Linked DNA regions of Coturnix japonica. The protein of the gene in region 2 purifies or fractionates together with the protein of the main gene of each other region. This does not show direct contact. Links are inferred from orthologs where the notes say so. Each region holds a gene or a part of one and is shown on either strand. Other genes may lie near its edges. The genes, in order: PCBD2 and HNF1A.

Region 1 (6,790 bases), on a different chromosome or scaffold from region 2:
TTTCATAAGAAAATTGGAGGTGGGTCACCCTCCCTGGGTAAAGCCTGGATGCTCCATTGCACATCATGGCACAGCAGGTGCCGGGATCTGCTGCTTGATGTCATCACTCTGTGAGGTCACCTCCAGCTGAGGAAACCCCACTACTGCAGGATAAACCGAAACTCTGCACTACAACAACAGAGGCTGGTGATTCTTAATTGAGTTTGCATTACTGAGCAGTTTAGGCAAACCATGCCTGTTTTGGCTAAAGATTAATGGAAATTATTGGCAAGGCTGCTTTTAATGCAGCCCTGCAGTAGGGGACAGACCCCAAAGGCACCAACAGCCCTCCCACGGGCTCTGCCTCCACTGGCCACTGGCATGTAAGTGCTTAAGCACTTCTGTGCCTCCATATCTGCCCGAGCCTGAAGCAGGGCTGATACCAGCTCAATGAGTAGCTTCATCACAGCACAGAGCTTCCCCTTGCACTGCTGTAGCTCCGTGTCCTGCAGCCCAGCCTGGCTCTCACAGAGCACTGCTGGCAGCCGTGCCTGGACTGCCTCCAAAGTCCGTTTGCAAGTGAGTTGTCAGCTCCTCACCAAAGGGTCCAACTCTGCAACAGATCTTCAGCACGAGCAGCACTTACATAAACACAGCCTTTGATGTCAGCGGGAGAACTCACATCCATGTTTGCTTTCTGCTGCTTTTTTTTTTCTTGAGAGAAAAGAGAAAGGGAATGAGCAATTGTTAATGGATTTCAATTTGTCAGCATTGCTGTGCCTGCTAGCCTGGCTGCTCCGTGAGCGCTTCTTCCAGGACACACATATGTTTGGCTCATCCTGAGCTGCAGCTTTGCTCAAGCCACGAATATTTGTTGCTTGGCGCAACCAATTGTGAAAAACTGAACCTAGCTCACGCTGAGGATCTCATTAGCTTCAGTTAATTGGCAACTGGCTCATTAACCTGAGGCTGAAAAAGCCAGAGGATGTGCACACACCTACCAGCTCAGAGCTTACAAAATTGATGTTGTAGGCTCAAGGTGCAGAAAGGGACGAGGAGGAGCCCTAGTGCTGGATGGGAGGTCACCTCCTGCTGCACTGGGTGTGCATCCTGCAGTTTACTGGAGCTGGGCTCCCACTCTGGGGATAGGATAACGGACCAGCCCTGTTCCTGAGCAGTCCTTGGGGCTGTCAGGACCTGAGCAGCAATCCCCAGCTAGGAGTGCACTGCAGGCATCCCTCATCCTCTGCATTCCCAGCCCTGTGTGTTTGGCTTTTAATTTCCTGTGGCTGCAGATCAGTGTTGCAGGGACTGCACTTCCCAGTGGCTGCAGGGTGGGTCGGTGGGGAGAGTGTGGTGCTGCTGCCATCAAACCTACCCAAAGAGAAGCTGATCAGCAGGGAAAGCTGTGAGTTGGGCAGTTGCTGGAGCCCACCTGCTGCATGGAGCCGGGCAGCTCCTGAGATGCCATCACCTGGAGAAGCCCCAGTGCTTAGTCCAGCTACTTCTGTTCAGAGCAGAGCCAGTGATGCTCCTTGCAATGCAGCCTCAGGCTGGGATTTCCTGGCTGGGATCCCATACCTGTCACTGAATCCATACTGTATAAATTACCCACAAAGCTCCAGCTTGGTCAGGGAGCCCTGAACAGTGCCCCAGCATCCTGCCCTCACCTACATGGGTGGAGGAGAGCTGAGGGGATGCAGGAGAAGGCAATGGAGCTGGGTGGCTCCGCCTGGCTCCCAGTATGGATTCACAGAACCACAGGATGGGGGTGAGAGACGTTGCAGGGATGAGGAGCTCGCTGGGGGTTCCCCACATAATTGGGCTGCAGCTCAGAAATGCCCCAGTAATAAACAGCTGAACAAGCACTGACCTGGAGAACACACTGCTGTGAGTGTTTTGAAGCCATGCTCCTCCTCTTGGGCTGGTTCTGCTCCTTCCTCAGGCTGGGAGCTGCGACGTATGGTGGCTGCACAGCTCTGTGCCATACGGACAGCGGCGTCCAGGGAGAAATTAGCTGGTGGGGATTTTTTCCTCCGAGTATGTAAATAAATATCAACACTTTAAACCAAAGACCACCCAGCGACTAAATATTATTTATCTTCAAACTAAACAGCTTTGTCACATATGTATAATAATAAAGAAACAAATTACAAAGGAGGAATTTGATTTTATTGGCTTGATGCAAAGCGTTGGCATTCTGTATCAATTTCTAACAGCAGAGTTTGCACCATTCATTGCAGACACCATCCAAACTTTGGGTGAGACTCGTTTCATTCCTCCACCAGGAACTGGAGACATCACAGCCCGACTTGAAGCTGAAATCCACCACTCCAGTGGGGAAAGGCACTATGAAGCAAAGAACATTGGAGCACGTTGCTTGAATCCAGGTCTTCCTTAGGTTTTAATATCAATATCCATCAGCACCAGTAAAGCCCAACACCTCCCATCTTGCCTCCTGCCACCAATTAGCACGTGATACTGCACTTGCTAAGCATTAACAAAAACACCATTCCTATTTTACCGACAGCAGTATCTGCATTTCAGCTACTGGCATTTTGCATCCCAAATAGCTGACAGACCACACACTGCACACACACCCAGAATAGACCCTGGCAGCTGCTGCCCCTCAGTGTATGTCTCAGTTCCCAGCCGTGCCCTCGGTGACCCCCAGCCGCGCTGCAGGCATTTCACAGGGGTCACTCTGCCAGTGCTGCACCCGAGGGGCTCGCAGGGCACACAGGGACTGGCAGCCACAAGAAGGGTGAGCATAGCTCCAGCTGAGCCCAGCTTAGCAAGAATCCTGCTAATGCTGCTTCCCTCACTGCCGGCACCTGGCCAGGCTCCTCTTCCCCTCTTGCAGGTACGAGCAGAGCTAACAGCTCCATCCTCCACCCAGCACTACACCCAGAGTTTTATTAACAGCACCGGGAGCTGAGACCTGGTGCTATTTGCTGAAGCAGCAAGGGGGATATGGAAGTCAGCACTGAAACTGGTGAGCACAGGCTCACAGGAGTCTCTCAGATAAAAGCCTTAAAGACAAACAAAGCTATGCCACTCTTTATAGAATACTTTGTCCCTTCAGGGGGGCTGTGAAATCAGAGTTACAGTGAATGAGGGACACCATTCAAAATACAAGGCAGTGCCTTAAAATGCTGTATACCTGCTTCATACGGAGGCAGCAGCCTTGTCAATGAACTGAGCCAGATTCAAGTCTCTCTTGGTCAGCCCGCCGCAGTCGTGGGAAATGAGGGTGATCTGAACCTGCCAAGAAGGAGCAGCAAGGTGTTACAAGGACGGTGTCCCATGGGGAAGCCATGTCTGCCCACCCACAGCTCCTCCAGGTGTATCTATGGGACAGCATGGATCTGCCAATACTGCAACACAATGCAGTGAGAAGCACCAGGAAATCAAAATGATGGGGAGCAGTGGTTCCCCCCCCCTCACACAGCACCTTTCTTCCAAGGGTTGCAGAGTGCATTCTAACCTCTGTAATAGTAAGACCAGCAGCAGCCAGGCAATGTTATACACAAGTTTTATAAGCTGCTATACTGAGACATGGGCTGGGGATGTTTAACAAATCCCAGTTTAGGCTGCCATCCAGGTACCTGCACGTTGCACAGACAGAAGTGAGAGCTGGTGGGCACTCAGAGGTTCCAGCACAGCCACTCACACAGGCTGCCTACAGAAGAGGTTTAAGGCTTCTGCTCTTAGCTCTCAGCCAGCAAGGCAAAGTGCCAGCCCCAAGCCACACGGCAAGCAGCTGCAAACAGCCGGATGTCTGGTGCCAGCTCACTGCTACCAATCACAGTATCTCTTTAAAGTCCCACATCTCTAGAGAAAGACACATCACCTCCCCATTCCCTCTGCTCCTCCACTGCACACAAACCACAGGAAGGGCACAGAGGACGGGCCAGTGCTTTGGTGTGTGTGTGTGTAACTCAGGCTGGTGGGCACGTTACCTTGCTGTAGACGTTGAACCATTCCGGGTGGTGATTCATCTTCTCTGCCTGTAGAGCAACTCGTGTCATAAATCCAAACGCCTAAGGGAGAAAGAACAGAGAGGAAAGCCTTCCTCCATCTGCTGGGATGTAGATGGCAGATGTTCTGGCAGCTGATCTGCAAGATTCAATCTGAAATCTCAGAACCTGCTGGAGAAATGTTTTTGGTCCTTGAGCCACCAAAGCGCTTCCTGACCTCACTGAAATCCTCCCCTTTGAGTCCTGGTGAATCACTGCTCAGTGTTACTTGCTCCAGGATTCAAAGCTGTTGCACAGGAACAATGATTTTACCCTTGGCACCCAAAAATGGTTTTTAACATCCATCCCAGCAGCCCTCACCCTCACTACATCTTTGCCAATGTGCTGTTTCCATCTAGGGCCCATGCCACAATATTCCCATACTGGACAGATACCATTCGCAGAAACACATCTCCTCACGTAACTATTTTGCTATTTATTTTACTTGGGGGGAGAAAGGAGGCAGGTGGCTTTGCCTCTCTGCTTTATGAGGAAATATTTTACCTTAAGTGAGTTAAAATGGGTTTCCCAATCCTCTGCCCCTATATTCTGCACAGGACTTTCCCCCAGGATGCAGGTTTTATCACGGGCTCAAGAAGAAAATAATAGCATGCCCTTGCCAAAATGCTTAAGAGCAAATCACTGCATTATAAAGAAAATGAGAATGTCCATGTAAATCAAGAATGCAATTATGCAGCAGGGTCCAAAGGGCCTCAGTGCGTGTGCAGAACGCCTCCAAGCCAACGGGCTCTATTCAAGCTGCGCTCCATCCATCAGGGTTGGGACCTAAATTAACATGCAAAGCAAAAGTAACATCCACGGTATAGTCTGGTTTGTATTAGAATGCAACGATCTCGACAAAGGCCTATCTGATTTAGGTAAGTTTTTAGCACTCATTTATGGAAGAGAATGTATATAGCCTGCATTCCACCAAGCGATGGCCGCTTCAAACAAACATGTGGTCAATGAATAACATATAATGGCTGATAATAGTTTCAGTCTTTTTTCCTCTCACAAATTACAAAAACCTTTAAGGAAAAGAAAAAAAAAAACCAGCATCGGTGCCTGGATGAAGTATGACTTTGTTACTCGCTTTGCCAGCCCAATGAATGCAAACGTTATAATCAGAGAAAATCATTCCAATGAGGCTTGTCATTTGGAAATCACCAAACTGTCAGCAATTAAAAAGCTTTTTTCCTTGACCCAAGAGCATTCCAAAATTCGGGAAATCCAACTTCCCTTGAAGCTCTCATTTGGTTTCATTTTCCTCGGAGCGAACAATTACTGTTAAAAGATGGCCCATGTTCCAGCAGCACGCGGTGCACAAAGCGGTACGATGTACATCAGCAACCAAATGCATCTGCATTAAAAGCTCTGAAACACTGCATTCAATAGCTCTGAGACTGCCCAGGGTCACAACAAGAATCAAACGAGACTCTATTAAGATTGAGGTCTTAGGGAATCTATTGACAACCCATACATTTCCACAGCAGCCTATACAGAGAGAAATTAAGACAGCATTGCAACCACTAATGCATTGCCTTTGTAGAAAGAACAGCAGAAAGAAAGCCAGATTAAACCTATGGAAAGCCCCACCAGGGTCTGTGCGTCCATCCAAGCAGCTCTGACATACAGACATACCTGGGTTATTGGGACTGGGGTAGCCCAAAGCCCACAAGGGATTCCCAAGCACACTGTGCACCCACACTCGTGCCCATGCCCCGCTGCTCTCCCTGACTGCAAACTGCTGAAGCCCCTCACTTTTGTGTACCAGCTCGTTTCAGTTACACACAAAATAGAAGCATCTCCCGCTAAGAAAATGAGCTACAGTTCCACCAAGCAATTTCACCAACGCAATCTCCATTACGGTCCTAAATACTTCCTCTGCTAATTAAATGAATTGGAATGCTATTGTTTGGAAATCGCCTTGATATTTGTAGAGCCGTAACCTCTCTTTGAGAAAATACAATTGGCTCTGCTAGGAAAAGATATTTAGACTTGATTAGATATGAAAACACTATTACATAAAATCAGTTTGGACATTTCTTCACGTCTTGAAACTTGATCGGTAATTTGGTCTAATTGGTGATCAAGGAAACTATCTTGTGATCAATTAAAGTAATTACCACATTCCGGCAACACAACCAACCTTAATTTGAGCAGGAGTCTGCACTTCTTCAACTTTAATTAAAAATAATGAAAATTATTAAGCAGTCTGCAGTGCAAGATCATTGCCAAGAGTGCAGCAGTGGGCAGAATCCATCAGCCCAACACACGCTACTGGGTGAAGCTAGGACAGGCTCTCAACGCCGATCGTGACCTTCACTGCACCAACAGCTCTGCAGCCCCTCTGACGTTAATGGGCACGTTTTCACATTTTTCCTTGAAAAACAAAGAGAGGGATGAGAAAGGATGCCTGCGTTTTCTAGAAGCCACAAAGAAAGGAGCCTTTGATATATTAACTATCATCAGATATTCTGGTTTTTCAGAATGAGAGGAAGACATTTCCAACATCAACCTTTCAGGACGTTTTGTCTGAAGTAACACCCGGATACACGGGTTACACCAAGCTTGATGCATCACTCAGGTCCTGGAAGATCACAGAGCCCTGCAGTGAGTCAGAAACAGCACCTAGAAAGATATGAGTGAAGCAACCCCGAGCAGACAGAGAGATCCTTGGGTGTGCCAGTACGTCTCTTCCCTTCATGTCTTTTAAGATCATGAAAGAACTAAAAGCGAAGGGTGCTTCAGATGTAATATCACTTCTAAAATGGTTTTTAAGCCATGCCATT
Region 2 (6,852 bases):
AAAAAGACACAATAAAAACACCTCTCAGAAGGAAACTTGCTTTGAGGAAGGTGGGTTGCTGCAATGTAGACATCTCATTGGTGTCTGATCAACTGCTTTGAGATGTGCGGTGTTCAAGTGGCAGAGGTGATGAGTGTGGCAGGGGAAAGGGAGATAAGAGCCTGCTGGGAGGAAGGCAATCAAACCGTATCATACTTTGAGCTGTGTTCTTTTGTTGTTGGTTGTTCTGTTTTTCCACAGCAGATTGTTTAGATTAGTATTAAAGAAATGCCTGTGCTTTCATGTCCTAATGCCTCCCCTTCCCATCAGTCTGGAGTACACAGTAATCCCAACTTCTCATATTGCAAAGTCAATGCAAGGTGGTTGTCCTGTATGTGTAATAAGGTTGCTTTAAAGGATTCTAGGAAATACCATTTCTGTAGTGTCTATCCTGTGACCACCCTCTGGTCACCAGTACTTGGGTGTACATCACTTACCAGCTTGGTGTCTGTGCTCAGTAGGTTCTGGCTGGGCTCCAGCCCAGGGGGAGAAACCTGATGCAGGATGGTTTGGGTGGTCACCATGGAGCTGTTCCCGTGGTGGTTGCTGCTGGAGGACTCTGCCTCACTGGCTGGCTGCTGGTTGTACCTCACTCCTGTATCACAGTGGGAGGGAACTGTTAAAACTGAGACACTTCACCAAGTGCTGAGCTCAGTTTCATTTGTGGGCGCTCATCTCTGGACTTTTAGGTCAAAGGGGGCAGGTTTGCTGTCTCCCTTTCAGATCTCCCCCTGGTTTTTTCTTACCGTGAACTTTGGTGGGTGAAAGAGCAGGAGGTGGCTGAAGGGAGGAAGAGTTGTGAGGTGTGAGGGGGGGAGCAGAGGTGGGCTGCGGGCTGCTGAAGTTGTCCATGGCCAGTTTGTGCCGGAAAGCCTCCTCCTTCCTGCGGTTGGCAAACCAGTTGTACACTCGCACCTCGGTCACCAGGTTTGAGCCCAGACCCTGGGCCTGAGATGGGGAAACGCCTCTCTGGATACACTCTGCTCTGTTAGGAGAGAGCACAACAAGAGTTCTGCTGAATCTGCCTTGGTCAAAAGGCAGGAGTAAGTGTGCAGCCCCAAAGTGGCTGTGTTCTTATACACCATGGGGAAGGGTCCTGCTGGGTACAGCAAGACAATGGGGCATTGCTGCTTCCTTAGCAAAAGGGGAATGTTTGGTGGTAGCGTGTCATGCAAATGTGGCTGATGCCACAACCCTCATGTGGGCCTTAGCACACCGAGGATGCAAAGACTCAGCTTCTTCAGAGCCAGGCACCCTTCTTTACCTGTTGCACTCTTCTACTAGTGCCTCTCTCTCTTCTTTGCTGGGGTTCTTTTGTCTCTCATAGGCTTGGAACAGAATCTGTTGGGAGGCCGGCCCCCACTTAAAGCGGTTTCTTCGTCCCTTCTTGGTGGGCAGATCGTCTCCCATGGGCTCCTCTGTCAAGATCCCCTGACCAGCATGTGTGAACTCTGCAGGCACAAAGGGCAAGAGAGTTCATTTTTCTGGAAGCATTTTCAGCAGTTAGATCTGTTTTTCTCACAGCAGGCCTGGTAAGAGCTTACTCTTGGAGAAAAACATCATACAAAACAGAGGCTTGAATCTAGACAGGGTAAAAATAAAGTTCCTTAATCTGCTAAAACAATCAAGATATTCCTAGCAGGACTGTGTTGACCGACCACCCTTTCTCTTGCATGCATTGCACCTCAGCTCTCTCCTTGGGGAAGTGAAAACAGATGTGGGAGGCTTGAGAGTAAGTGTGACTGGGGTCCTGCTCTCTAGAACGACCCACACCCAGGCTGTCTCATTTTACTTGCAACTCGTAAATACAAAGTTAATTGATGTATTCCAGGTGGATTCCTAAATTCAGAGGTGCATGCTGCAGTGATGGGTTACCAGTGGATGTCTGTATATAGAGGGCCTGGAGCAAGATGTGATTTGTTTGTTACAGTGGTTTGTTACAGCAAGTACAATAGATTGCTGCTTTTTGCAGCTAAGGGAACTGCTGCTTTAGCTGAAATTTGTACCAGCCCAGTGCTCAGACAGAAATGTCTGTGATGTGTCAGGTACGCTGCTTTAGTCTGAGTATGGATTTCCAACTCTAATGGCAAATGAATAATGTTGCATCTCTTTAGGGAAGTGATGGGTGGAGCGGGAACTGCAGGCTGTTTTGTGATGAAGTGTTTTTCCATGTGCAGTTGGGTTCCTCCAGAAATTGCTTTTTCTGCCTTTTTGCCCCTGATAGAAATGGGCAGTAGGGGTTAGCAAGGAGAGCAGAGGCTGTTATGAAGTTTGAGAGTGGAGAACAATTGCTGCTGTACTTACGCTGGGCCACCTCTCGCTGCTTGCGGACATACCAGGTGTAGAGGGCTGCCCTTTTTTGGGTCTTCATGGGAGTGCCCTTGTTGAGGTGCTGTGAGAGGTGGGATTGGTTCAGACCAGTAGTGTCCACCACCTCGCGCTGAGGGATGTTGTGCTGCTGGAGGTAGGATTTCACCATCTTTGCTACCCGCCAGGGATCCTCTCTAGAAGGAGCAGAAAACACTTCTCAGGGGAGCTGTCAGTAACACCTGCACTCTGCAGACCTGCATTGCAAGGCACTTTGATATCCACTTAGAAGGAGCCATCTGTGGCTACTGGGGGAACTTTCCAAAACGTGGCTGCAGTCTTTGCCATCTTATTTTTATACAAGGCTTTGTATAAAAATACAAAGCTCCGTTCAGGCAACAGTCATCTGCAAATGACAGAAGGTGCTGACAAGTGACACGGACAAGGAATGTACATCCCATTCTGCTGGGAAGTAATAAGGCGTTTTTTGCTGCTAGTGAATAATGCCATAGGGAGAGAGTTGCACTGTATCTCAGCATTCAGCTGGATGTGTTATGACTACAGATATCTATTTTTCAGAGTTGACAACTATCTTGCCATTCTCTACAAACCTTTTCTTCTCTGTCCTCTTTCTTTAAGGCATAAGTGCTTGGGACAGGTGTAATTCATTTTTCCAGGACAGATTCACTGTGTTACTATGCTGAACCTAGCTCATGCCCTAAATCTTGTCAGGGATGAGAAACATGGCAGTGATTCAGGCTATGAAAACAGGCTTTCATCATACTGTCACAGGACAGCTATGCATGTAATATGTATACAGCAAGCAATCTGGCATTATGATTTTGTGCATCAGCTTTGCATTATGTGAACATACTGATTAACATCTAGATCCACTCAGACTCCTACATGCTATAAAGAACAGGCAACCTATTAATTGCCACCCTCCTTTGGGATAACAGCTGGTGGAAAACTTGAAGCTAATCTGATTTGGGATTTTATAATGAACGTGAATCTCTGACTAAGACCTCTAATTAGAATATCCACAACTGTTCCTAAGGAGGTGTTCAGTGCCAGGTTGGATGGGGCTCTGATCTAATAGGTACCTTGCCCACAGCAGGAGAGCTAAAGCTAGATGACCTTTAAGGCCCCTTCCAACCTGAGGCTTTCTATGAATTTGTGAGAATAGAGAATGTGACTTTGACTGCAGCTTCTTTGTGTTTGTCAGTTTCACTGAGACTGAAAACTACAGTAAAAATAGAAAGATTGGAAAACATGCAGCCTAGAACCAGTCAACTCAGGAGTCTCCCTATGGAGAAGATTCTGGTTCAGTTTTAACAAAGCATCCTTCTGTGTTTTGTATGCAGGATGTCTGATGGAGAAGGTTTGTGCACTGTAGAAATACAGCGGTGCTGCATCTAACACCAGCATCAAAGGAGCAGCAGAGATGAAAAAATATGTCTAATATTGTGGGTGATGTGTTGCAAGAATACAGAGATCTGAGCGACTGGCAACAGCTGTACTGTTGGCGGCTTTGTTGATTCAGTAGGTTGCCAGAGGCTGCAAAGTGATAAGCAGGACAAAGTCCACACCTGTTCTCTCAGTGCAAATACCCTTATCTCTGTTCCCCTCGCAGCCTTTCACAGTGGCTGGGTAGTCCAAGGAGCAAGCTCTGCTGCAGTTAAAGTATGGCAGAAGCAGAGATGGTTATGGTTCTCTGAAGAACCTGCTTTCTTAAAATAGGACCATTTGCTTCTCTTTTATGATGGTACACTTGCTACAGAGGCTTCAGTCTTCTGGCCTCTTCTCTTAACTATCTTCATCTTTTCAGAAGCCTCAAATTGGGCTGGATGTACAGAGCTATTCCATCTTTAGTGTTGTTCTTCCCTCTGTATTTGTGTTATAGTCTAGCCAGCACATGTGCCTTGCATTTGTTCCTGCACATAAGAGAAAAGGCTGAGACTTGCAATCTCTTCCCTTAGATCTGAGTTCTGGCTCAGATGGGGAAAGGAAGGACTGTGTCATTACTGATGGAAACCACTGTTACATATTGATTTCCTTCCTGCAGGCTGATGGCGAGTCGCTTCTGTCTCCCCTGTCAAGATCCTCACTTCTTTGTGGTAGGAACAAAGCGGGAATAATCTGAGCGTCTCTTTTTCACTGTAGTTCAAAGCCTTGTGCTTTCTTTTCTGTTTGTTTGTTTTGTATTGAGACAAAGCAGAGAGAGTTCTGTAAGGGAAAGCACTGCAGGGAATTCTTACCACAGTATAATTTCATAAGGTAGTTGCATGTAATCCAAGCTACTCTGTACACCATCAAAACACAGGCTGTAATACCAGCGCAGCAATTTATTTTGGCCCTGGACTACATCACAAAACAAGCAATGGCAGCTGCTCAGCTGATCCCTGAGATGAGCACCTGCCCAGATGCTCGGTTCCACCTGCAGAGTCTGCAGTGTTGTCACACAGATCATAAAGTAAACCTTAATTCCTTCACCAGTGGTAGGACTGTCACTGACTGTCAGTTTTCCTGTTGTAGGTGTGCTAAAATCTCACTTCCACAGTGAGTTAGAACTGGGTGTGCCTCAGTCAAGCTTTCTTCTACCTACAAGCACATTTCCTGCCTTTTTATCTTCGTTCTTCCCAAACAGAAGCTACCCCTCATCCCATTCTTGTTTTAGAGATGTTAAGTTCTTCCTGGAAGTTCTTCCTACACAATGCTTATTTCCCAAATCTTGCTGTCCTGATTTCAGCTTCTTCCTGCTTCTGAGCACGGCCTCTTTCCCTGACTCATCCCAGCCACAGGGGCCTGGGTCTTCTTTCCATTCCAGCTTCCCTTTTTCTTAGTTTTGAGGTCACTTTTTAAGGGCGTTTTCACCTCCCTTTTGTTACCTGAACAATAAGTAACCCAGGTAGTTAGTTATAAACTCAAAGGGAACAAGAGGCTGGTTGATAATTTATAGCAACATCTCAAATTTAAATGGAAAGTAAATATCAAGTTGTTAGCATTAAAGAAAACCCATTCCAGAGAGCTGGAGATGTAACATTCAGGGGACATTCTCCTTCCTTCACTCTTCTTGACTTTTCTTCTTTTTCCTTTGTTCCTTTCTTTCTCTTTTTCTTCCCTTCCTTTCTTCCCCCCCTGTTTTTCCCTTCCCTCCCCCCCATTTCTCCTTTCCTTCTTTCTTGTTCTCAAATTCTCAGGCAAGAGAATCCTTCGTAGGCTCGGAATTGCTGTTTGGACCAGAGCTCACTTAAGCAGAGGTTCAGAGCTGTGAAGTTCTCAGCACTGTGCTCTGCCCCTTTCCTCTGGAGCCTGCTAGACAACCCTCACTGATGCCAGTGCACACCTGGAGCCGTGCTGGGCAGAGAGCAGGGCAGGTAAGACCATCAGCAGGGCTCCTTTCTGATGAACTTGGCCTGGTTCACTTTATCTTGGTTTATATGTGGAAATGAAAGGGGTGTGGCAGCTCCATCTCAGCATTCCCCAGTTACGGCTGCATGAAGACAGTTTACATGAGGAAGATATTGACTCTTTATCATCACATGGCTATTTTTTTTGTCTCAAGGAAATCATGCTTTTGACCCTGCCTCTAGGGGAAACCTGTTGCTTATCTCAGTTTCTCTCTTTCCTAATGGAATTTTGCTTCTTGCCCTTCAGGTGAACTGCTGCTATAGCTCTTGCCATCCTCCGGATGTGTAGTAACACAGTCTGTCCCTGCTCCCAAGGATGCCTGTCTCTTGCCTTCTGTAGGTAATACCAGGCCGTTCTTTCTGTCCGTATAGTGATCTAGATTTGCTCAGATTGCAGATTTGTGGAGGATCAATGAGACATTTAGGGATGAAATGATAACATGTCAGTTTCTCTCTAGAGAAGCTTTAGTCTGAATTGCCTTTATCAGTCGTTTTCGGCAGGGACAAAATGTAATAGATGCCCATAGGATCCCAGTTGCGTGGATGTCTCTTGTTGAACTCCTAGATCACTCGGCTTTGTTCAGTGCTTCTGAAACTGCACTTCCAACTTCAGTGGTCCTGTGAGGATATATTGGGTCTCTTGGTGCCGTCACTTTTCCTTTCCATCACCCAGAAAGTCTAGCAGAAACCCACAAGGGCTTTCTTGTATTGCCTATAGCTGCCCACAGGTCAATCTCTGTTAAAATGTGGTCTGCAGTATCAGACCAGGAGTTGTTAGCCTGAAGAAACTTCTTTATGAAGGCAAAAGATCCTCCATCTGATTTCTCAACATGAAATCCTTGTGTAGATGCTGAAATAGGTAGTTTTGCAGTCATTGAAGTTCTACTGGGAATACCTGGGCTTGGAAATTTCTTGCCTTCCTTTCTTTTGTTCATTGCTAGAAGTAGTTTCTATTATAGAGTAATTCCTATTACAGATTCTTCTGTCCTGGCTGTAATTACAATATCATTTTAAGGACGTTACCTTTTGGCATCTGTTAATGGTTAAAGGTTTATTTTTAAAAACAAAAAAATGTTTTAGTGAGCAACAACTGCCT

What was found.
Region 1: the proteins of HNF1A (region 2) and PCBD2 purify together in Homo sapiens (affinity purification with mass spectrometry; 4 studies listed by BioGRID and IntAct, with this or other methods). This does not show direct contact. The link is inferred for Coturnix japonica from reciprocal best matches to the Homo sapiens genes HNF1A and PCBD2.

What each region holds. Positions count from the first base shown.
Region 1 is NC_029528.1:2,498,616-2,505,405, reverse strand, and holds the end of PCBD2 (pterin-4-alpha-carbinolamine dehydratase 2), read right to left. Parts: intron 4,023-6,790; coding exon 3,942-4,022; intron 3,244-3,941; coding exon 3,148-3,243; 3' UTR 3,143-3,147; intron 2,329-3,142; 3' UTR 2,130-2,328; downstream 1-2,129.
Region 2 is NC_029530.1:8,069,675-8,076,526, forward strand, and holds part of HNF1A (hepatocyte nuclear factor 1-alpha), read right to left. Parts: exon of another isoform or gene 5,763-6,852; intron 5,724-5,762; coding exon of another isoform or gene 5,679-5,723; exon of another isoform or gene 5,353-5,678; intron 2,544-5,352; coding exon 2,344-2,543; intron 1,491-2,343; coding exon 1,304-1,490; intron 1,025-1,303; coding exon 786-1,024; intron 635-785; coding exon 477-634; intron 1-476. Other genes in the region: SPPL3 (signal peptide peptidase-like 3), read left to right, coding at 5,679-5,723. UniProt on the Homo sapiens protein: Transcriptional activator that regulates the tissue specific expression of multiple genes, especially in pancreatic islet cells and in liver. Binds to the inverted palindrome 5'-GTTAATNATTAAC-3'.